Linked DNA regions of Rhinolophus ferrumequinum. The protein of the gene in region 2 interacts with the protein of the main gene of each other region in a biochemical or structural test. Links are inferred from orthologs where the notes say so. Each region holds a gene or a part of one and is shown on either strand. Other genes may lie near its edges.

Region 1 (10,878 bases), on a different chromosome or scaffold from region 2:
TAGACATATAAGTCTGTTTGCATGTGTGGTCTGGAACTTTTCAGTACGGTTAGAACAGCGTTTCTTTACTGGGTCATGGCCCTTTTTGAGAATAAAATTTGTATCCTCCTACCTCTTCCCTTACTTTGTGCATAAATAAATACTTGCAGATGTAATTTTGCTTATAATTTCAAGTTCATAAGCTCAAGAGTCCATGGGTCTTCTATTAAGAACGCTGGGTTAGAGAAAGATTTGCTTGATTTGGTTCTCTAAAAAATATGGTATTTGTCAGGGAAAGGTTAATAATGTAGGTCAGAACAAAGAGGAGTGGGAATTACAGCAAAGGATAGTGGGACGTTAATTGACATTAGTTGTCATTGGCTATTGTCACATTGTCCACATTTATAGGCCTTGTAAAACATACTTCTGGGCGTAGGTATGTCATGTAAAATCTGTTTACTTAGGCACTCAAAAACTGACATGTATTTGTTAAACTCATTTAAAAAACAGATCTGATGAAATGAATGAAAATGGCATTTTTACTAACCCAAGCAAATTTTGTTAAGCATGGTAACAAGGTTACGGTGAACTCATTTTGATATACTCCAGTGTAAGGAAGCTGAGAGCGGTATTGTTTCACAGTTTTCTGTGGAAATAAGTTCCTTAGAAATCTTGTGTTAAATCGATATTAAATAATTAATCTTACTTAATAAAGCCTTGTCAGTTATATATTATATGTCCACAGTAATTTTTTTGTTCCCTTTAAAGATCTTTGGATGGATTATATAAAAGAAGAATTGAACCACCCTCTTGGTAGACCTGAGAACTGCGGACAAATCTACTGGCGAGCCATGAAAATGTTGCAGGGAGAGTCAGCAGAGGTGTTTGTAGCTAAACATGCTATGCATCAAGCCGGCCATTTGTGAAAAGAGGAAGAACAAGCCAACTTTGTGAAATAGTGTTGTAAGCCTTCTGGGTAGATTGGTGTTAGGAGTTCATCTACAATTTGCTTAGAGATGGCAGACAAGAAGGCTCTCTGATTTTGAGACATGCTTTAATTTTGTTAATGCATTATTTTTTAATTCCAGAAGAGAATTGCTGTTCAGTGGCCAGAGGCTACTTGTTGGGGCTGGATCTACTATAGATCCTGAATGTTGTTCAAAATAATGTGGAAATCATACAACTGAAGTTTCTTTTATTATCCCCGGGTTAAGGATGAATATTTCTAGACCTAGGGGCCAGTTAAAATGGAGGAGAAAGTACAGTTCTGTTAGTTTATTCTTCCCTTATTATAAAAGTATGCATGGTATGCATTTGTTGTAGAAAATATGGTGGGAGTAGAATAAGGAGAAGAAAATAAAAGCATCCTGTAATATCATCTGGAGTTAAACTCAGTAATTTGATTTCCTTTATCAGAATTGGATTTATCCTGTTAGAACATTTACTCATTCATTCATTGAGTGCCCATCATAAGCAGGAAGGAAGGGAAGCTTTTTTGGATGGAGGTAGGGGTTAGAGGAACAGAGCTGAATGTCTCTAAAGCTGGTTGAAGGAGCAGAGAAGGATGCTGGGTATTGGGGAAAAAGTTCTTTAAGAAGATCAAGATGTTATACAGGTATCTTCTATCTCTGGGACTGATCTGCAAAGTAGTGTTTATAGTGGGCAGGACTGCCAACAAAAGAAGGGCAGGGATAGGGAGCATATTAGAGAAAGGCTTCAGAGCCCATGATGGAGGATGGCTTGAAGCACAGAAGGGCATTCTGGGAGTAGGGGAGGCAGTTATTTGAATTTTATATCCTTTAACATAATGTTATAATGTCACTGGGAGAAGCATTCAGTACAGTTTATTGATGTTTCGCTTAATATTAGGTTGGTGCAAAAGTAATTGCGGTTTTTGCAATTTTCCAACTTTTTAAACTACAGTTACTTTTGCACCAACCTAATATTATGTTATTTTTCCATGTCATTAAAGCCTTAAACACATTTAATGAATTTAGAACATTCCCTGTAAAATTCATAACATTCTGTGGTTGGACCTTGTTATTGGTTGGACCTTGTTATTTCTAATTTTTTCTTACTATAAATGCTGTTAATGATTTTTGTAAATCTTTGTTCACATCCCTGGTTATTTCTGTAGGAGACTGACATCTGACAAAATTGTTGGATTAAAGGATATAACTTTTTAAAAGAATATATATATTGCCAATTTGTAATGTATAAAAAGACTTTCAAGAAATGTATGAAAATGTCAACACCTTTACCTGCGGTGGATACTTTACACACACACACACACACACACACACACATTTTTTTTTAAATTTTTATTGGGGAGTATTGGGGAACAGTGTTTTTTTCCCAGGACCCATCAGCTCCAAGTCAAGTCATTGTCCTTCAGTCTAGTTGTGGAGGGCGCAACTCAACTCCAAGTCTAGTTGCTGTTTTTCAATCTAGTTGTGGGGGGTGCGCAGCCCACTGGCCCATGTGGGAATCCAACCGGCAACCTTGGTGAGAGCTCATGCTCTAACCAACAGCCATCCGGCTGCCCCGGATATTATATTTTTTATTTATGCCATTTTAATAGGTTAAAAGTGATACATCATTGTTTTAATGTGTATTTCTTTGGCATTAATGAAATTAATGTGGTTTTCCTGGTTCTCTTTTCATGTTTTGATTTTTTTAAAACTTGTTTCTTACTAATTTATAAGAGTTTTTTTTTTGGGGGGTGGGAATATTGGGGAATAGTGTGTTTCTCCAGGGCCCATCAGCTCCAAGTCCAGTCATCGTTTTCAATCTTAGTTGCAGAGGGCGCAGCCCACCATCCCATGTAGGAATTGAACCGGCAACCTTGGTGTTATGAGCACTGTGCTCTAACCACTGAACAAACCATCCATCCCATTATTTGATTTAAAATAAAAATAATTTCCTCTTTTCCCTCTCCTTTAAGTCCCAGGAAGTTTAACATGCTAAACCCTTACATGGCATTTTTATTTTAGGAAAGAGATACATGTTGCATACAAGAGGAGAGGGAAGGATGGTGGTTGGCTTCTTATAGCAAGGCTATGAAGGTGGGTCCCCTGGGTCCCATCTGTATCTGGTTCTCACTGTTGCAGGTTATGAAAAGGCATCTAGCTAGTTCACCTAGAGCTGTACTGTTAGTATGGTAGTTTCTAGTTATGTATGGCCATTTAAACTTACTAAAATTAGCTTGATTTTTCATTTATACTGGCCACATGTTTACCATATTGGACAGCACAGAAAAATAGAACTTTTATTCCCGCCATCACAGAAGATTCTGTTGGACATTGTTGACCTAGATAGGTCCAATTAGATTTGGTGAAACTGACTCATGGGTCAGAACAGCACACATCAATTGATCACATTCTCTTCTCTGTAGGAAAGTCTATACGTTGTGAAAAAGAAAACACATGTATTGTTACACTAAAATTTTTCAAATGCGTTATGCAGTTTACAAAATATACATTCTTGGAAGGAGATGAAGGACTAGGTAGGCTCTCTAATCTCCCATAGATTGTCATAAGGTGGCCTGGTGAGCAAAGGACTCCCAGCTTCCTCCAGCTTTTCTGCTACTTAAATGTGAAGGTGAGCACGTTCAGGAAGTGTGGGGAAAGGCAGTGAAGGCAGTCTCTGCCTGTCTTCTGCCACCTCCACAAAGGAGCTTTTTTCAGGTCGGACCACCGCGAGACTCGGAACGCCTAGGGTTATTAATGACTGCCATAACATACAGTGTCCAGCACATTGTAGAAATTTTGTTCCTATGTCCTGGTTTCTAATGGATTCACTAAGAACTATCGTTAACTTAAGGGGGAGAATCACTGGGCTACTGAGTTGTCTCATTCATCTGTGGGTGAGTTATAGTCCAATTCCAGCCTGAGTTCTAGGGAAGTTTGTGAGATCAAGAGTGAAATGTGGTTGGTGAGCTACAATTGCACTAAAAGTTTTGAGAGCTGAGCTTTATACACTATCATGTAGACTCGGGTAACAGGAATTGGAGGTTTTTAAGCTGCGAAGGGATAACACTTGACATTCCAGACCAAGCTAGTCCCGCCTTGCCTGCACTAGCTGGTGCTACAAAAATCAGATTTTGGACCAGTAGGTGGGCTTTCGCTGTCGGGCGCGCCCCGCCCCTCTTGCGGCGCCCCGCCCCCGGCTTCCTCGTGACCCCCCTAGTCCCGCCCCCCCCTCGTGCAGGAGCACCCCCCCGGCTGATTGGCCCCTCTGTGGCGTATCCTCGGGCTGGCAGCCAGGCGGGCGCGTCACGTGGCCGATCAGCGTCCAGGGCACCGAGCAGCGGCCGGGCATGGACCCTCAGACCGCCGGGGCCCAGGCGTTGGGGACCGCGGAGTTGCCTCGGGGTCCGCCGTTGCCGTACGCGCGGAAGGCGTTCCCCAGCTCAGGGGTGAGCGCCGCGCTGGGGCCCGGCGCAGCCACCACCTGCGGCCGGGTCGGGAAGCTGCAGGCGCCGCGGAGCCGGGGAAGCGCCTCGGGCCCGCTTGGGGCCGCCCCGTGAACGCAGAGCGCCGTTTGGGCGCGTGCTCTAGCTGGAAACCGCTGGGCCGAGGGGCCGCGGGGTGTGGGGATGCGGGGCGGGGCACCTCGAAGGCGTGGGTGGACGCGCCGGCCGGGGAAGGAAGGCTGCGGGTCCCCGGGGTCGCCTCTGCGTACTTGCCAAATGGGAGGTGATGCTGATGACCGAGAGCTGGGGGCCTGGACAGGGGCCAGGGGAGGGCGCGCGAGGAGAGCGACTTTCCCTGAAGGACCTGTGTCTACTGGTGAGGATGTTCAGCTGACCCTGAGCACCCGATGATGTCTCATGCGCGCTCCTTTTCTAGTTAATGAAACCCAAAGGCCGGGTTTGACGCAGGTTTTCCAGAAACTTGTTTTCATTTGCGCTCCAGAAGGCTCCTGGTTTTTTAAAGACCATTGTTACAGTCACCACCTGCCCTTATTTTCAGTCAGTAATCTGTTAGATGGTGAGCTCGTCGAGGGTAGGAACCTTCTGTTCACTGCTGTTGACAGGGCACCTAGCGTAGTGCCTGGCACGGTAGACATGCTTTTTGGCTGGAGGAATGGCGTGCTTGTTGAAGCACCAAAGATACTACCTAACCAAAGTAAGAAGGAAAAAATGGAGTGATAGACTTACAAAGAAAGTTACTTTGGCGTGCAGATAGGATGAGCCTCGTTTTGTCAGGGCATAGCAGAAAAGTATGTGCACTACCTCTCCAAGGTGAGAGGGTGGTGGTGCTTGCAGAGGCCCGGAGATGTGGGAGTGCATGGCAAATGCTTGGGGACTTGGGCCTCAGAGCTTGGAGAGAGAAAGATGCTCAACAGGTTGATGATGGCTTGTGAGGGGGATGTGTGAATGCCATGGCTAATTCTGTACTCCTGCAGTGGAGCTGAAGGTTTTTGAGGCGAGCAGTGATTAACACTGGAAGGCTGGGCAGGGTGGGAGAGTGGGGAGACAGTTAGAGGTCTCAGGCAGTGGTCAAAGTGAGAGGTCCTGCAGTAGTGACCAGCGCTTGTCACTGACTACAGGAGGTGGAATCGACACTTTAAATGCAGGTATGACTTGGGGGCAGCCTGTTAGCTCAGTCGGTTAGAGTGCGATGCTCTTAACAACAAGGTTGCTGGTTCGATCCCCACCTGGGCCACTGTGAGCTGCACCCTCCACAACTAGATTGAAACAACTACTTGACTTGGAGCTGATGGGTCCTGGAAAAACACCCTTACATAAATAAAAGTTAGAAAAAAAAATCCAGGTATGACTAAACCATAAGCTAACTGGGGCCGGTGCCAAGTGCAGTATAGATGTAGCAACAAAGAAGGTGGATTTAAATTCAATGGTGCTAATGTTTTCATAAATGTTATCTCATCATAAGCCCCCTGCAAGGTCAAAACAGTCATTCTCAATTTCCAGAGAGGGAAACCCAGACACAGTGGTTGAAGTTCAAGGTCACACCCTGAATGAATGGCAGAGCTGGAATTGAAATCAGGTCTTTTCATGCAGGCTGTGGACATTCCTTGTTCCGTTTAGGAAGAGGTCTTACAGGTGATAGGATTTCAGGAACTTTTGAGTGATGAGAGCAGGGAAGCATATGGTTCGCTGTGGGGGAAGAAGATTTCCCTCATCGTCGCAGAGGAACTAAACCTCTGTTCCTCCCAGTGTATCAGCCAGGAGACAGAATTGGACAGAAAGAGCTGTTAGCTAGCTAAGAAGTTGTTAAGTAACTGACAAGTTAAAAAGTGAACATGGAGTAGGAACGGGCAAGAAACAGCTACCAACCCTAAGGAACCAAGGGATGAGGTTGGAATGGTTCAAATTTACATGCTTAGAGGAGCGGCTTTGGGGAGCTGAAATTCCACTCTCTGAGGAGAGGGCGCTGTCCAAGCTCTGAGCCTGGAGGAGGGGTCCTGAGAGCCTGGGCGTCAGACCTCTGAAGAGAGGGCTGGATGATGAGGCTGGCCCTGCAAGCTTTGGCAAACTGTAAGCTGGGTTCAGCAGCCGCTATGGGAAGACGCGCCAGCTGCCAGGGTGAAGTGTCGCTGGGGTAATGCCTGCAGGAACAGGAGGGAGCCAAGGCCCTTCTCCCGCTAGCTTCGCTGACTTCATAGGACAAAGCACAAATACGGGTTGCAGGGTCCCAGCCCCACTCAAATAGGGGGAGTATGGAAGGGTGGGGTTGCGTCTGAGAACCTAGAGCTTAATACTGGACTACCCCAGACATCCAAGTCCTGGGTAATTGTTTTTTCTTCCCGCAGGTTCGCTTTGCCCCAGACGACCACTCCGGTCAGGACAGCGAGATTGAGAAGGCCCCAGATGGACTAGGCAAGTAGATGGCAGAGACTGGGGTGGATGCCGGAAGAGACTGAGGGAGCGACAGGGACAGTTCCTATGTGTCTTGTCACCTTCTCTTCTAGCGAGTCCTCCTCTTCGCTGCCGCATTGCCTTTTCTGCCTAGGGTTTCAACAGTGCCCTTGTTTGGAAGCCCTACTGGAGCATCCCTAAGGGAAGTCCTGACCTTAGGTCCAAACCCGTCCTGTCTATGGAGAAAGACAGCTTAGGACAGCGGGAAGAATATAAGCTTTGGAGCCAGGCAAAATTGTTTTCACTGTCAGCTCCACGTCAAAGTCCTGGGCTCGAATCTTGTGGTCTTAGATGAATCACTTAATCCTTTCTTTAAAATGGGGATAATCATATTACCTCTCAGAGGTAATTGGTGAGAAGGATTTGGTGAGAGGATTTGGTGAGAGGATTTTGTTCTGAGGATTTGGTGAGAAGATGTAGAACTGTAATTGCCACTAGCTACTGGTGCTATTTAAATTTAAGTTAATTACAATAAAATGAAATGAAACAATTCAGATCCTGTTGCAGTAGCCATACGTCAAATGCTCGGCAGTTACACATGGCTAATGCTAGCCTGCCAGACAGCAGAGATGATAGAAAGTTCTGTTGGGTAGTACTGGCCTAGAGAAAGCACCAAGCACGTAAGTATAGTCATGACAACTAACACTTACTGAGTACTCACTCTGTGCCAGGCACAATTCTAAGTGTTTATTTTCCTTTTTTTTTTTTTTTAAAAAAAACAAACAAACTCAACAATACTGCCTCCATTTTACAGATGTGGAAACTAAGGCACTGAGTAAATTTCAAAAAAATTTGTGGTAAAAGACACATACAATTTGCCACTTAATGATTTTAAAGCATACAGTTCAGTGGCATTTAGCACAGTTACAATTGTGCTGTATAACCACCACCACTTTTATTTAGTTCCAGAACATTTTCATCACCCCAAAAGGAACCCTTGTGCCCTGTAAGTAGTCACACTCCATTCCCCACTTCCTTGTGGCCCTGGTGACCACTACTCTGCTTTCTGTCTCTATGGGTTTACCTATGCTGGACAGGCAAATGTGAGTTGCATATAAATGGAATCATACGCCATGTGGCCTTCTGTGTCTGGCTTCTTTCACTCAGTATATTTTCAAGGTTCGTTCATGTAGCATGTATCAATGCAGGCATACCCTGCAGATATTGTGGGTTCGGTTCCAGGCCACCATAATAAAGCAAGTATCCCAATAAAGCAAGTCATAACCTTTTTGCTGATGGAGGGTCTTGCCTTCAGTTTGCAAAAGAAAACCCCACAACATCTGTGAAGTGCAATAAAACGAAGCATGCCTATACTTCATTCCTTTTTTATGGCTGAATAATTCTGTCATGTATATATCACATTTTGCTTATTACCCATTCATCGGTTCATCGGCATTTGGGTGGTTTTCATCTTTTGGTGATTGTGAATAGTGCTGCTGTGAACATTTTTGTACAAGTTTTGTTTGAACACCTGTTTCCAATTCTTTTGGGTATACATTTAGGAGTGGGTTGTGGGGTAATTCTGTGTTCAAGCTATTGAGGAATCGGTCAAGTACATTTCAGCTCCGTCACACATGTAGTAATTGGCAGAAGTGGGATTTGGACTCAGGCAGTTTGGCTCCAGAGCCCCTGCCCTGAACTATTTCTTTATTGCTTATAGCTGTCATCAAACCGTGTTAAGAGCATGGCTGTTTTTAGGCTGATTCATTTCCCAACTCTGACCTGGCATCACCGTAGCACTTTGTGGGGACAGAATCCCAGAGAGCAGTTTCCAGGCTTTCGACCTCTTGTGGAAAGGTGCTGGCTCGGGTAGTAGATGGCCATCAGCTGTTACCGGTTAGCCATTAGCCACAAATATAACTGCTATGGCTATGCCAGCAAGTGGGGTTGGTTGGTTGGCAGAGAAGCAGACTGCGGATTGTGGATAGCAAGTGGGGTTAGCAAGTGCGGATGGTGGATTGTGTGGCTCCTGCTTCCTGTGTCTCACCCGGCCGCCAGCGAGAATATAGTGGTATGACTCCCCTATCTATGGCTCTGTTGGTATGCCTTTTTGGCCTCACCATATCCTGCATTCTTGTGTGGGGAGCGGGACCAGAGTCCCTGCATGATATACGTATATGCTTGGAGGTCCATTGTCCTTCCCACACTTGTCTTCCGTTATTTTGAGACCCTTTTGAAAATGTACCTTCCAGCCCTTCCAGATTTCAGGAGGAGCAGCCATGGTGGCTATCCAATCTGACTAGATGGGTTCTGATCTTCTCCCTGTTTTTCTCCCACTCCCCCCCTTGTCCTGTGCTCACCTGTAACATGCTCTTTGAGGATGAAAGGAGGAACAGAAGAGCAAAAATTCAATTCACCTGTATTATGAAAGTTTCTCATTTGCCTCAATGACATATAAATGACCTGAAAATGTAAACTGTGCCTGGCTCCCTGTGTGAATTACATGACGGGGTAATTAATGGTCTTTTTCAAGGCAAAACGTCTTATTGCAAATAATCGATCAACCCTACTTCTAAAAGTGTCAATGAAACTTTATTTTTTGAAGTGCTCAGGTAGCTAAAGAAGTCTGGTACACTTGTGTTACTGCTGGCCTCTTAGGAAGTCTGCCCAACATTTTCCAAGCACACAAGTAGGCCCTCTCTGGTTTGTCGGTTGTTTTAAGACCTTCTTCCTTCTGTCGATTTCTTAGCCAGTGAAGCGCGGAGCGTCCCTAATGATAGTCCTGCTGATGGTGAGGGCACCCGTCCTGAAGAAGGCGGCTTTGCTGTGGATGGCGATTCTGAGGGGGAACCCAATGCCTGGGAGCTGTCAGAAGGGGTGTCCGGCTGTCCGCCCAAGGAACAGGCTGATGATCTCTTTCATGAGGATTGGGACTTGGAATTGAAAACAGATCAAGGGAATCCGTATGGTAGGTATGGAATTTCTGGGTCCCAGGCCAAGGTTCGAGACTCTCCTCCCAGATTACCCCTAAAGGCAGACACTTTGGAAGAGGGACCCACAGCTGTGAGTCTCGCCTGATACCTGTTAGAGATCTGTGATGTCTGTGACAGCTTCTCTTTCAGATTGAGAAAAAAGAAAAAAGAAAAAAAAAACATGGAAATTTTGCATTTGACTCCGTAATGTATCAGTTTTAACACTGGCATAGTGTTACTCTCTCCAAATATCTCTGTGTAAATTGAGAAGCTGCAGACAGAAGTGCTCTGTTATCCAGCTGCTTCCTTTGCACTGAGAACGTTTGGCTGAGCAGCACAGATATGGGTTGCCTCGGAAAACATGCTTGCAATTCTTCAGGAAAGGAGGACTCAGTGTCCTGTGTGTGTGTGTGTTTTTAAACAAAGTGCAGTGTCTGTCCCCGAGACATTTGTTGGCTATTTGTTTTCACCTTCCCTCCTTCCATTAATCTGTCTTTTGAAACTGCCTGCAGATGCTGACGACATCCAGGGCTGCATTTCTCAAGAGGTGAAACCTCGGGTGTACTGCACCCCACAAGGAGATATGATCTATGACCCCAGTTGGCACCATCCACCTCCACTGATACCCCACTATTCCAAGATGGTCTTTGAAACGGGACAGTTTGATGATGCTGAAGACTGAGTGCAGCTTTTTTTTGCCTGGCAGGTGGGTGGGCCTCCAGATCAAGGTCGCTGTTCCTTTCTGTGAGGTGAGATGTCATATCTGAGGAAACATTCCCAGTGATCCCCGGGTCGGGCACACAGACTGATGTTAAATAAGGTCCCGCTGTCCCCTAATTGTGTTGTTGTTTTTAATGAGCTCCTTCTTGGACATGTGAATGTTTGGGTCTGTGTCAGGAGGAGGACTTGAATGCTCTTTATAAATAAAGGTAGAAAAAAATCAATGTGCTTTGGTCTACTTCCCCGCCCCCCATTTAATTAGATACTTCTGAGCAAAGCCTGACTCCTTCATTCAGAGTCCCTGACTTAACATTTTTAAGGACTGGAGTACTAGAGATTTAAACTACCCTGCGAAAGGAAACACTTTTGCAGTTCTGCTTCTGT
Region 2 (10,878 bases):
TGTACAGCACCTTCTGTGCTACTGGAGCAAACCTGAAGCTGCTTCTGGATACTTGTAGGCAGAGCTAGAGGCCGATAGTGTATGAGCGGCCTGTGGGATTGTGAATAGCAGAACAGACTGGTGCTGTCACAGCCCACTCATACCACACCTTCTTGGAATTGCTGCATCGCCAGAAACGCACACAGATGGTCTGGCCTTCACGCACAGTAATGGGTTGCTGTAAGAAGAAGGACAGGGAGGTTCAGGGTGGAGTTTATATATGGCAACGTATTGAGCTAAGTGTGGAGATAAAATGGTAAAATATAGCATTCCAATCCTCAAAATTGATTTGAAGTCTTTCAGAATAATCAAAACTGAACAATCACACATTGAACAAATAATGTAAAGTGTGATGAGCACTGTAAACATGTAGAGGGTGCTAGATGCTATGAAAGCACCTATGAAAGGGGACGCTACCTTACTCTAGGAGGTCAGAGAAAGTTATCTGACAACAGAATGTTTAAGGAGACCTGGAAAATAAGTTAGCTGGGTGAAGAGATAAGCAAAGAATATTATAGGCAAAGGAAAAGAATATGAAAGCCTGATGCAGGAAAGAAGATGGGGTATTAGAGGAACCAAAAGATGGTCCATTGGACTGAGCAATGTAATGAAGGAGAAAGTATCTGGAAAGGCAGGCTAAAATCAGAACACTCCAAGTCTTACAAACAATGTTCAGGATTTTGACAGTGGGAAGGCAGTGAAGGGTTTTAAACAGGAAAGAGATAAGAGCAGATTTGAGTTTCTAAAAGCTAACTCTTGTTCAGGGTAGAAAATGGACAGAAGAGTAGCTAGGGGAGATGTGGGGAAGCCATGTAGAAAGCCACAGCAGTTACCCCAACATCTACAACTGGTATCTAATTATCAGAGCAGGAGGACATGGGTCACAGCCAAGCATCACTGGTAACCAAACAGCTGAAGTTATTCCTTAATGGAGTTTTAAAGGTGACTCCTACCTTAATGGGGAAAAGGATGGGAAACCATGAGAACATGCCAGGAGAGTGAGTCTCTGGACGGATACCTGTGAGGACAAAATAATGAAAAAACTGAGGTCTCCATGACAGCATTTTACCTTGGCTGAAGAGAGTCTCTTCTGTGAACACAGAAACAAGTCATCAAAGATCCCCGTTCACTGATTCCTGGGCTCCCGGTGACTCTAACTGAAACATGTACATAAGCTGCCCAGGTAGTACATGCTCATACCCCAGCATCCACAGCCCTGAACACTCACTCAGCGTGATGTCCTGATAAAGCACGGTCTCAAAGTAGCCTGCAAAGCCATGCAGCACTGTGTTCACTTCCACGGGAAACTCCAAGGTACAGTAGCGGTTGTTGTCAATCATAGGATCTGTCAGGGAAGATTTATATGGGTGACGAGGGGCCAGAAGTCCTAGACAACTTGGTAAAGCATGAGCAAGAACCAGTAAGGGAAGCCTAGAGAGGGTAGACCCAAGTCAGCAAGGGAAGAAATCCAAGAGGGCAATCTCTCACCCAGTCAGAGCACAGCCAGGCAAGAACCCACCTCTGTTGGGATGGCTGAAGGTGAAACAGGGCTGGGGCGCAGACAGCTGGTGGAAGTTGTGCAGCCGTACCACATAAGGCATCTCAAACTGGGCCTGACCCGAAAGACAGAGAGCAAGAGCTGAAGACAGGTAAGAGATACCTACTTCCTCAGGGAAAGAAGCTCAAGACTCAAGGACACAGAAAAAGATGAAAAACTTTTACTTCAACCACTTTTCCACACCCCCAAGTCCTCCTTCACTTCTCCATCTTTTGCAGAAAAGTAAAATAATTGAAGCTAATACAGAAAAAGAAAGGACTAAAGAGAGGAGTCCTCCAGAAGGGAGTGGCTCTTTACCTCAGGGTCACGGTCCTTTTCCCGACAGGCTCGGACCTCATTGTACAGCTTGGAGGAGGAGATAGGAGCCAGAAAGGAGGTGTACTCCCCAGGGATGCTCACGCCGTCCTCTGCAGAGCAGGAGCGCCACATTAGTTCCCAAGGGATGGATACGGTGTATCTGTACTAACAGAAGGCTCAAACCTCTCACGCCCAGGCAGCTCAGTGCTGTCACATTCCCAGGCCAACCTGCTCCCAACTCCTGTCACAGGGGATTCTACTTTCAGGTTAGGTTACAGAGTTACACAAGATTAAAACTGGAAGGAACCTAAGGTATTCTAATCTAGTGCTTCTCAGTTTTGGGGGGGGTCTCAAAGACTTTTGAGATCTTCATGAAAGCTAAGCCCAAAGTCTGTATCACAGCAGCTCAGAAAGCCCACAGACCTCAGGTTAAGTGTCTTCTCTAGTCCACTCCCCTCATTTTACAAATGTGAATACCGAGGTTCGGAGAGATTACTTCATTTACTAAGGGCACGACACAAGTCCAGCCCACCTTCCCTTAAACCTTGTAACCTCCTCCTAGGCTGCCATCCCGCCCAATTCCCCCCACCCCCTTGCAGCCTTCCCAGCTAATAATCCATTCCCCTTACGCAGTACACCCCAGCCTGGAGGCACCTTTTAGGAAGTGCTGGGCTCCATCCAGGCACTCAGGTGACAGTTCATTATCAGCGAAGGAGCCCAGAAGCTCACTGACAATGATGTCTGCTTTCTCAGGAGCCACCCATTCCCGCATGTCTGATGAGACTACTGTCACCTGGCTTCCCCACTCTTCAAACTGCCAGTTCTCTAACCTGAAACAGAGTAACACAAGTGAGGACCCTGACAAGAGAAACGTACTGTGAACAAACTTCCCAGCAAGGGATTTGCTACTCACGTCACCACAGCATTTGGGTTCTTCTCTACAGCGTACAACTTTATCCGCCGGTCAGCCTGCTTGGCTGCCCGCAGGGAAGCATTCACCAGGGGACCCCGGCCTGCTCCCAACACCATTAGCACCCTAAGAAAAAAGGAAGAGTCAAGATGACTTGGTATATAGAGAAGTAGACACACAAATCTCTGGGATTGTGGGGAGGGCACTCACTGGACATTGGTGTCCTTCTCCTCATCTGGCACTCGGTCTAACAGACATTTATAGATGGCCTGGGGGGAAAGAGAGAAGACCTCATGGCTGTAATCCTATCCTCACCTAGGTCATCCCGGCCCTGTGCTTGACCCAATCTGGGACCCACACTGCACCTGCTGGTATTGAGAGTATTTGATGGGGTCCTTTTCAAACACCTCATACGTCTGAGATTCCAGATTGTCCATCAGTGGCTGATAGGAGGAAACAGGCAAAGTAAGTCAGCCAGTTTCTGGCAAGAACAGTGCACCAGAATTCCAAAACCTTCCCACTGCCTCCTGAGCTTTGGTAGGATTTTAGGATACCTACTCGCAAGAGACCCAACCTCCCTCCTCTCAGTGTACTGCAGACCCACCTGGAGAGGGGACTGCAGATAGTCTTCATAGCCCTTGGCAAAGAGTTCGTAGGCATTGGGTGGAGGGCGGTTCTGGCTCAAGTATTCCAAGTACTGGAGGTAGGAGCAGAACTCCTTCTCTGAATGGTGGTTGGTGCCTGTGATGATGAACTGTACCTCCAACTGTGAGAGAAGCCAGACCATCAGACGCAGTCCTCGAACCAAAATTCTGGGACATTATTGTATCTTATAGCCAGAGTCCTAGCATACATAAAATAAGGCCCAGACCAGCAGTTCTCCAGATACCAATAAAAGCAGCACGAGGCTGCAACGAACTTATCAAGCCCTCCTATGCATATTAGCATCAGCCTGGCTCAAAGGGCCCCATGGATCCTCACTGTAACTTCTTAAATGGAACCTTCTGCAAAGTTCTCGTAAGATTTGGTTCCTATTGAAATGTTTCTGGGGCTCCTACTGCCATTTGTCTTTTCCTCTCAAGACTCCCAACTTTGCTGAAATTGCTCTCCAGAACCCAGAGAGGAAGAGTCAGCCCCACAGGAAAAAAGCATCATACATGTGGGAATAAGGCAAAAGGATTAGTTGGAGCACTTTTAGAACCCTTCTACCACCCACCTTCAGGAGCCGGAAGATCAGCCTCTGGTGCATCTTAGAAAGAACAGGAAATCCCTTCTTATTGGTCAGGAAAATGCTGGTGGGGAGAATGGCTGCTTTGATGGGCTCCCCAAGCCAACGATCAATGACATGATTAGATGGGAGGTCAGCCCCAATTTCAAGAGCTACACAAGGGAAAAGAAAGACCTGTCAACTACTGTTAGGAAAGAAGCCTTTCCTTGCTCTTTTGCGCAAGATCTCTTTACTCCTTACGAAGCACAGAAAAACAGCAAAATTGCCCAGCAGCCGAGTCTACATGAAACTCCTGATTCTTATTCACAGGAAGTCAGAGAAGGAATACCTATCCTAAGACCCCTGTGGACTTACCCACTGCAATCCTCTTGCTATAGTCACACAAGGTCCGGAAGTTGTGCCACCTGTCCAGAGTCAAACACAGAAAACTACAGTCAAATACATATGGCTCACCAATAACCATAGCCAACCCTACCAAGGAGGCCAACCCTACAGGTTCCACCTTGTACTTCCCCTCACCCTACCCTTTGCCTTCGTACAGCAGCAAAAGGAGACATACCACATCCACGTCTTCTCATCTCCACTGTACTCCTCTGTGTGTGTAGTTGGTGCATTCTCGATTATATCATCTCTCAGGTCCTCTGGTGCCACCAACGGTACCCGCATCCAGAACTGTACATGAACAAGTACTCTATTAAAACTCAGTGGGTCCAGAAAGCTTCCTTCAATTAAAATATCTCGATCCAGATCTCAAATTAACCCCTTTATATGCATTTGCCAATTTATGATTATATGTATGTTCTTATGTAAATATGTCTTGTCCCCTATTCCAAGTATAAATTTGTATAAATAATTATATATTCTTTATATTTTATAACTCCCTGCTCGCTACTTTTAAACAGGGGTAGGCAGTACTGACATTACATTTCTACCAAATGTACCCTTTACTGAATGGCTAGGAACAAGAAGGCTAACTACTATAATATGCAGTAGGAAAAGAGGCCCTCAGCCGTACCATGGAGGAGTGGTGGCCAGTGTGGATGTGGTTAGTCAAAACTCTGGCCAGGTTTGTGTTATCTTCCTGATTTAGGGGCAGCAAGAAAGCTGGAAGACCCAAATATGCTCCAAAATTCAGCTCTTGTAACATGGCCTGGAATGGAGATTAAGAGGAAAAGTTTAAGAGCTAACAATCCATATAGCTTTAATTGCATTATTATATCAGAGTTACTGAATTACAGGGGTGGGGGGGAAACCTGTTCTACCCACCCAGCTTGGTTACAGACCTGATCTTTAGAAAGATCCAGTGGAGAGGTCAAACAGTCTTACCGCCTCGGAGTTCCTGCGGATCTTCTCCACTTTTGAGTCTGGACGAATCCATGGAGAAAGCTTTCCCACAATTAGCGTATTCCAATCTGCACTCCCCCACCCAAGAAAGACAAAGACTGAATGAGGTTAGGCACTTTACTTGTTTGATTTCTAGTTCTTAAGAGGGAATAAAGTAGAGATAAGAGAAAAACACTTTTTCTATCATAGACACAGAATAGCCTGATGCAGATTAGGAAACTAAGGCTTTTAGCAGGTAAGCAAGGAGAAAAGAGTTATCTGTATCCTAAGGACTAATCAATATATCTAAGTCAGGAAAGGAGAATGAGGGCACTGATAAAGAAGAAGTTGTTACTGCCTCTAAGAATAATTAAGGGGCATATGGGATGGTCCCTACCCCTTCCTGACAGCAGTAGGTCTGATCGTGTCTGGGGGCCCGGTCGATTCTTAGCAGGTTCCTGAGTGAATTCCCTCTTGAAACGCGGGTGGAAGACAGGCATGCAGAGGAAATCAAACCTACAACCGCGACAGACCCAGAATTGTCATGTAAAGAGAGCAGCAGTGCCCAGAGATCCAAGCAACTGGATTAGGCTATCTGGATTCTGCACAACCCTTTCAGCTGCCATCATCAGTCAACCGACTGGACTGCTGAGTTCAGCTCATGTTGGGGCATATCACTTCCCCTACACTGTGCCTCAATTTCTCCCCAAAACACAACCACGGAAAACATGAGTAAGGTGAAAAGATGAAATGCAAACCAAGTAGATTTTCTACTCTACTATCACTGGTTTCCCAGGACTGTCACATCCAGATCTGCCCCAGTACTACCCATGCCTCCCCCACTCAAGGTTTATCTCTTCGCTCCCTAGCCCCGTAACACTTCCTCTCACTCTCAGACAATACACTCGCTCTCCAGGGCCCTGGAGGTCTGTACGCCCCCTTTTTGAGTTTACCTGACAACCCAGACTTTTAGGGTCAGAGACCACACGCCCCCAGTAAGTTTTTTTCTGACGCTCCAGGGCCCGAAGCTTCTTCCCTCAAGGAGTACGGGTTTCTCCCGCCCTCATCTTCTCCACTCCGACCCCCTCACCCCTGACTCTCGGGGATGACTAGTCTGCCCCTCTCCGTCGTCGAGTTCAGAGCCGCATCCCGCCCGGAATCCCAGGCCCTCACCCCTGCTTGGCCACAGCCCCCAGTGTGTCAGCTATTTCGGGAACGCAATTCAGGTCCCTGCCGCTGGACACGCGGCTCCCACCAGCACCTCCGACCGCCATCGCCGCCATCTTTTCCCTCGCGCTGTCCACGCCGGGATTTCTTGATACTAGCAGCCAATCATAAAGCCAGGAAAAAAGCCCCCGGAAGGCGGGACGAGTCGCCCTAACAACCAGAGCGTCTTCCACGGCTTCTCAGCGGAGAGGAAGGATGGGGAATGGCTCTTCCTGCCAATCCGCGGGCTGTACAGTGACGTGCGGCGTAGCTCCGGAATATCCACCAGTCCCAGGGTCTGGTTCTCTACGAGTTTCAATCTCCCATAATACCTCGTGTTATTCGTAAAATTTCGTTAGGGGACTACACGTCCCATGAAACCCTGCCATATAAGCTTGAAGTATCATCATCGAGGAGTCTTCAATTGTCTCAGGGCCAGTGGCGCAATGGATAACGCGTCTGACTACGGATCAGAAGATTCCAGGTTCGACTCCTGGCTGGCTCGTGTGAGGCAAACGGTTAATTATTGCAGCTCGTGCAATACGGCCGTGAACACCAAGTTTTAGATCTCATTACACTTTTTAAAGTTTCCTCATTATCTTCTCACGCCATTATTTTCAGGTCTAAATTTGATTGAGTTCTGCAGCCATTTTATGTCAGCTTCTCCGTTACCTAATTCGAGGGTGGTTCTTGTGTCACTACTCAGGTCTATGAGCCCTGTGAAAACTGGATTAATGGCTGGTGCTCTTAAAAGAGGCTTTGTGTGGGCCTTAGTATGTTATATTTGTAAATACATTGTGGCAACTCAGCTACTAATTCCTCGTGATTCTATATCTCAAACACAAAATGTAAATAAACACACACACACATTGTGGCAACTCAGCTACTAATTCCTCGTGATTCTATATCTCAAACACAACATGTAAATAAACACACACACACGCACACACGCGCACACACACACACAAACACACACACACACACCCGAAGATAGAGAAAAGGAATTCATGGTAAGCAGTTACAGTAGAGGAGTCATAAACTGCCAGGCGGAGGCTTCAGAGAATTTATACATTTTCCTTTGTCAGTACCTGCTAGAGGGAGATCTCTACATTTTCCTTTATTAATACCTGCTATAGGAATGGAAAAGAAAGACAGGAATGAAGAAAGGAAAGACATAGGGAGGAGAGCCCAGAAGTGTTCAGGGTCTGACAGAGAAGATGGAAAGGAGAACACGGTACAAAATGCCCTAAGCAGGAGGCGTTGACAGAACTTAGGGACCGACTGGCAGGGAGCCGTGAGGAAGAGAAGTCACGGTGATGCCCAAGGTTCTGATCTCTGTGTGGGTTAGACAAGCAACGAGAGAAGCCGATTTAGGACAATCCGGGTTTGGGTCTGGAAATGCTGAATTGGACGCCTAGGGGGCGCTGCGTAATAGAGAGTTAGATGAACAGTGACCTGAACCAGACAAGATTTAGAAATCGCCAGAAGAGAGGTAGTGACTAAAGTCCCTAGACTGAATGAGATCACCCTGGCCTGTGGGGGAGAAGGTCCTGGGAAGTACGGAAGGGTGTGTGTAGGATAAACTCTAAGGAGTCTTGGGTGCAATGTAAATGCCCCAAAAGGGTAAGAGTCCAAAAGCCAAAGAATTAAAAGGTCTGCGAAGCTTAAAGGGGTTGGAGGTGCTTTTGTCCCATCTTAGTCTTCATTTGACTCCTGCAGGTATTAGTATTATTATTAGACTTTATTTCTTAGACTTGTTTTAAATTTACAGAAAAATTGAGCAGATAGTACAGCAAGATCCCATATGCCTCGCCTCAGCTTTCTCTTTTATTAACATCTTAACATTGGTATGGTATATTTATTACAATTCATGGACCAGTATTGAAAACATTAATTAAAGTCCATGGTTTATTCAAATTTCCTTACTTTTTACCTAATGTCCTCTTTTTGTTCCAAGATCCCATCCATAGAGGATACCTTATTACATATAGTTGTCCTATCTCCTTAGGCTCCTCTGTGCTGTGACAGTTTCTCAGATGTTCCTTGTTTTTGATGACCTTGAGAGTAGTTTTTGAGGAGTTTGAGAAGTCTGGTCAGATATACTGTAGGATGCCCCTCTATTGGAATCTGTCTGATGGTTTTCTCATGATAGGCTGAGATTATGGGTTTGGGGGAGGAAGATCAGAGAGGCAAAGTGCCATACATATTATCGACATAATTTATGACTGTTGATATTGACTTTTATCACCTGATAGAAGCAGTAGTAGAATTACACTCTCCTCTCCCCTACTTCCATCACGTACTCTTTGGAAGGAAGTTGTTATACCATGTGTTTCCCACATTTAAGGAGGGGGGAGTTATGCTCCCCTTCCTTTAGGGTGGAGTATCTGCAATATTTATTTGGATTCTTCTCTGAAGGTCTTGTGAGTAGGTGGTTGTCCACCTGGAGTGAGTGAGTGTTCCTCTGACATTTTAAGAGGTAAAAAAAAAAGAGTTGTTGAGGAGGCTTGCTTGTTCTCTGCCCCAGCTGTGCCCAACCAAACTCTGCGTTCACAGAAGACTTAGTAGATGTTGTTTCTAATTATCTGGGTTGTGGACCATCTGTGCTTCTGGCATCTTCCTCCTGATGTCAAGCTGGTGGCTGCTCCGTTGGTTGTTAACTAATCCATCCATGGGTGAGAGGGAGAGAGGAAAATCTATAAAACAGTAATGTCAGTTTTGCCATCAGTTAAAATAACTTTCATCATAAAATAATTTTCAAAAGAATTTGTGTAAAAAGAGCCTAGAATTTCTGACTGACCTTAAAGTAAGTTTAGATGGGCTGGATTTCATTTGTCTGTGATGTCTTTGATTTTTCATTTAAAATGGCCTCAGCTGTATGGCAAGCATAATGCTGAATAGTTCCCAGTAATTCCATTCCACATTGCTCCCCGCCTTTCATACAGCACTTCCCTTTGCCTTAAAAAAACAGCATGTACTATAGGTCTGCCTATATGAGCTATAAGAGAAGCAGAAGGAAAGGACTGAAAAAGAAATAGAGAATCTTGTAAAGGACTCTTCCCAGGCATAAAGTCAAAGCTAGTGAAGTCTATCTATGCTCTGCTTCCGTCTGCTTTGCCCTCCATGCTGAACTCTTGTGCTCAGAAGCATGTGAATCACTAGATGTAGGCCTCGGCTGGGACGAAGAGAGAGAGATGGTAGGACAAAAGGGTAAATACCCTGCGTAAGAAAGAATGTTACTTACTCCAATAGGAGCCAGTGACCAACAGGCCAGAGCATTGGAAACTTTCCTGGAAAGGAAGGGGTACTCACTCCCCAGATCCTCCTCCAATGGGCCTGCCAGCATTCCTCACCTTCAGGCCCAGTTCTTCTAACTGATGCTGTTTCTAGGTGCTTCCAGCCCATTGTAAACCCTCCTTTCATCTTCCCTTGTGCTGCCCTCCTCCCTCAGCACTGGCCTCCCTCCCGGGGACCACCTTCACTCACCTCTGTGCCTGCCCAGCCAGTCGCACTCTTCAACACCAAAGTAATGGCCCGCTTGACCCTCCTACTGGTTCAAATTGCTGCTTCACAATCAAGGCTGTCCTCCAGCCGCAAAAGTGGCAGAGTTACTGAGGCAAAATAATCTGTGTGATTTGCATTCTCTTCTTTGTCATCTCTATTATACAGTATTTATCTGTCAAAATGGATAGAAAGTAAAAACTGTTTTGGAATACAGAAAAAGATGGAAAACTACCCAGTTTGTTTATGAAGCCAGAATACACCTAATATCAAAACCTGTCAGAAATAGCATCCCTCACTCACACACAGAAAAATAACCTTATAGACCAATCTCACTTATGAATATAAATGTAAAATACTACAATATTTCAGATTAACACATAAAACTCAAGAGTGCATTGGCATAATAATTATATACCACAACAAATTAGGGCTTATCTCAGGAATTTACACAAGGTTAGGTATTAGAAAATTTATTTATATAATAGATCAAAAATAATCCAAACAAGAAAAACATTTGATCATTTTTAAGAGCCACCAAAGAGAACATAAGTTAATTTCATTTTCTATAAACATTCTTAATAGTCTTAATATTCTTCATGTATAAATACATATATGTATATATATGAAGTCAACAATTTATGTAAAGATAAAATAAAACAAGACTGTCTAATCTCATCACTGTGCTATTTAATACTGTTCTGAAAAATCCAATACAATAAGACTGGAAATTAAAAAGGAATGGGTTACAACTTTTGGAAAGAGAAAGGCAAATTTGTCATTGTTTGCAGATATGATTGTATACATAGAAAATTC

The links.
Region 1: the proteins of PRMT5 (region 2) and COPRS form a complex in vitro, tested with the Homo sapiens proteins (3 studies listed by BioGRID, with this or other methods). The link is inferred for Rhinolophus ferrumequinum from reciprocal best matches to the Homo sapiens genes PRMT5 and COPRS.

Annotation. Positions count from the first base shown.
Region 1 is NC_046304.1:20,361,033-20,371,910, reverse strand, and holds COPRS (coordinator of PRMT5 and differentiation stimulator), read left to right. Parts: upstream 1-4,175; 5' UTR 4,176-4,297; coding exon 4,298-4,396; intron 4,397-6,756; coding exon 6,757-6,823; intron 6,824-9,551; coding exon 9,552-9,770; intron 9,771-10,286; coding exon 10,287-10,456; 3' UTR 10,457-10,708; downstream 10,709-10,878. Other genes in the region: UTP6 (U3 small nucleolar RNA-associated protein 6 homolog), read left to right, coding at 748-905. UniProt on the Homo sapiens protein: Histone-binding protein required for histone H4 methyltransferase activity of PRMT5.
Region 2 is NC_046289.1:73,501,745-73,512,622, forward strand, and holds the start of PRMT5 (protein arginine N-methyltransferase 5), read right to left. Parts: upstream 6,784-10,878; 5' UTR 6,639-6,783; coding exon 6,529-6,638; intron 5,872-6,528; coding exon 5,753-5,871; intron 5,445-5,752; coding exon 5,359-5,444; intron 5,183-5,358; coding exon 5,048-5,182; intron 4,705-5,047; coding exon 4,592-4,704; intron 4,437-4,591; coding exon 4,387-4,436; intron 4,185-4,386; coding exon 4,021-4,184; intron 3,571-4,020; coding exon 3,409-3,570; intron 3,248-3,408; coding exon 3,170-3,247; intron 3,074-3,169; coding exon 3,015-3,073; intron 2,931-3,014; coding exon 2,808-2,930; intron 2,725-2,807; coding exon 2,549-2,724; intron 2,005-2,548; coding exon 1,895-2,004; intron 1,653-1,894; coding exon 1,559-1,652; intron 1,385-1,558; coding exon 1,268-1,384; intron 1,058-1,267; coding exon 993-1,057; intron 218-992; coding exon 65-217; 3' UTR 1-64. UniProt on the Homo sapiens protein: Arginine methyltransferase that can both catalyze the formation of omega-N monomethylarginine (MMA) and symmetrical dimethylarginine (sDMA), with a preference for the formation of MMA.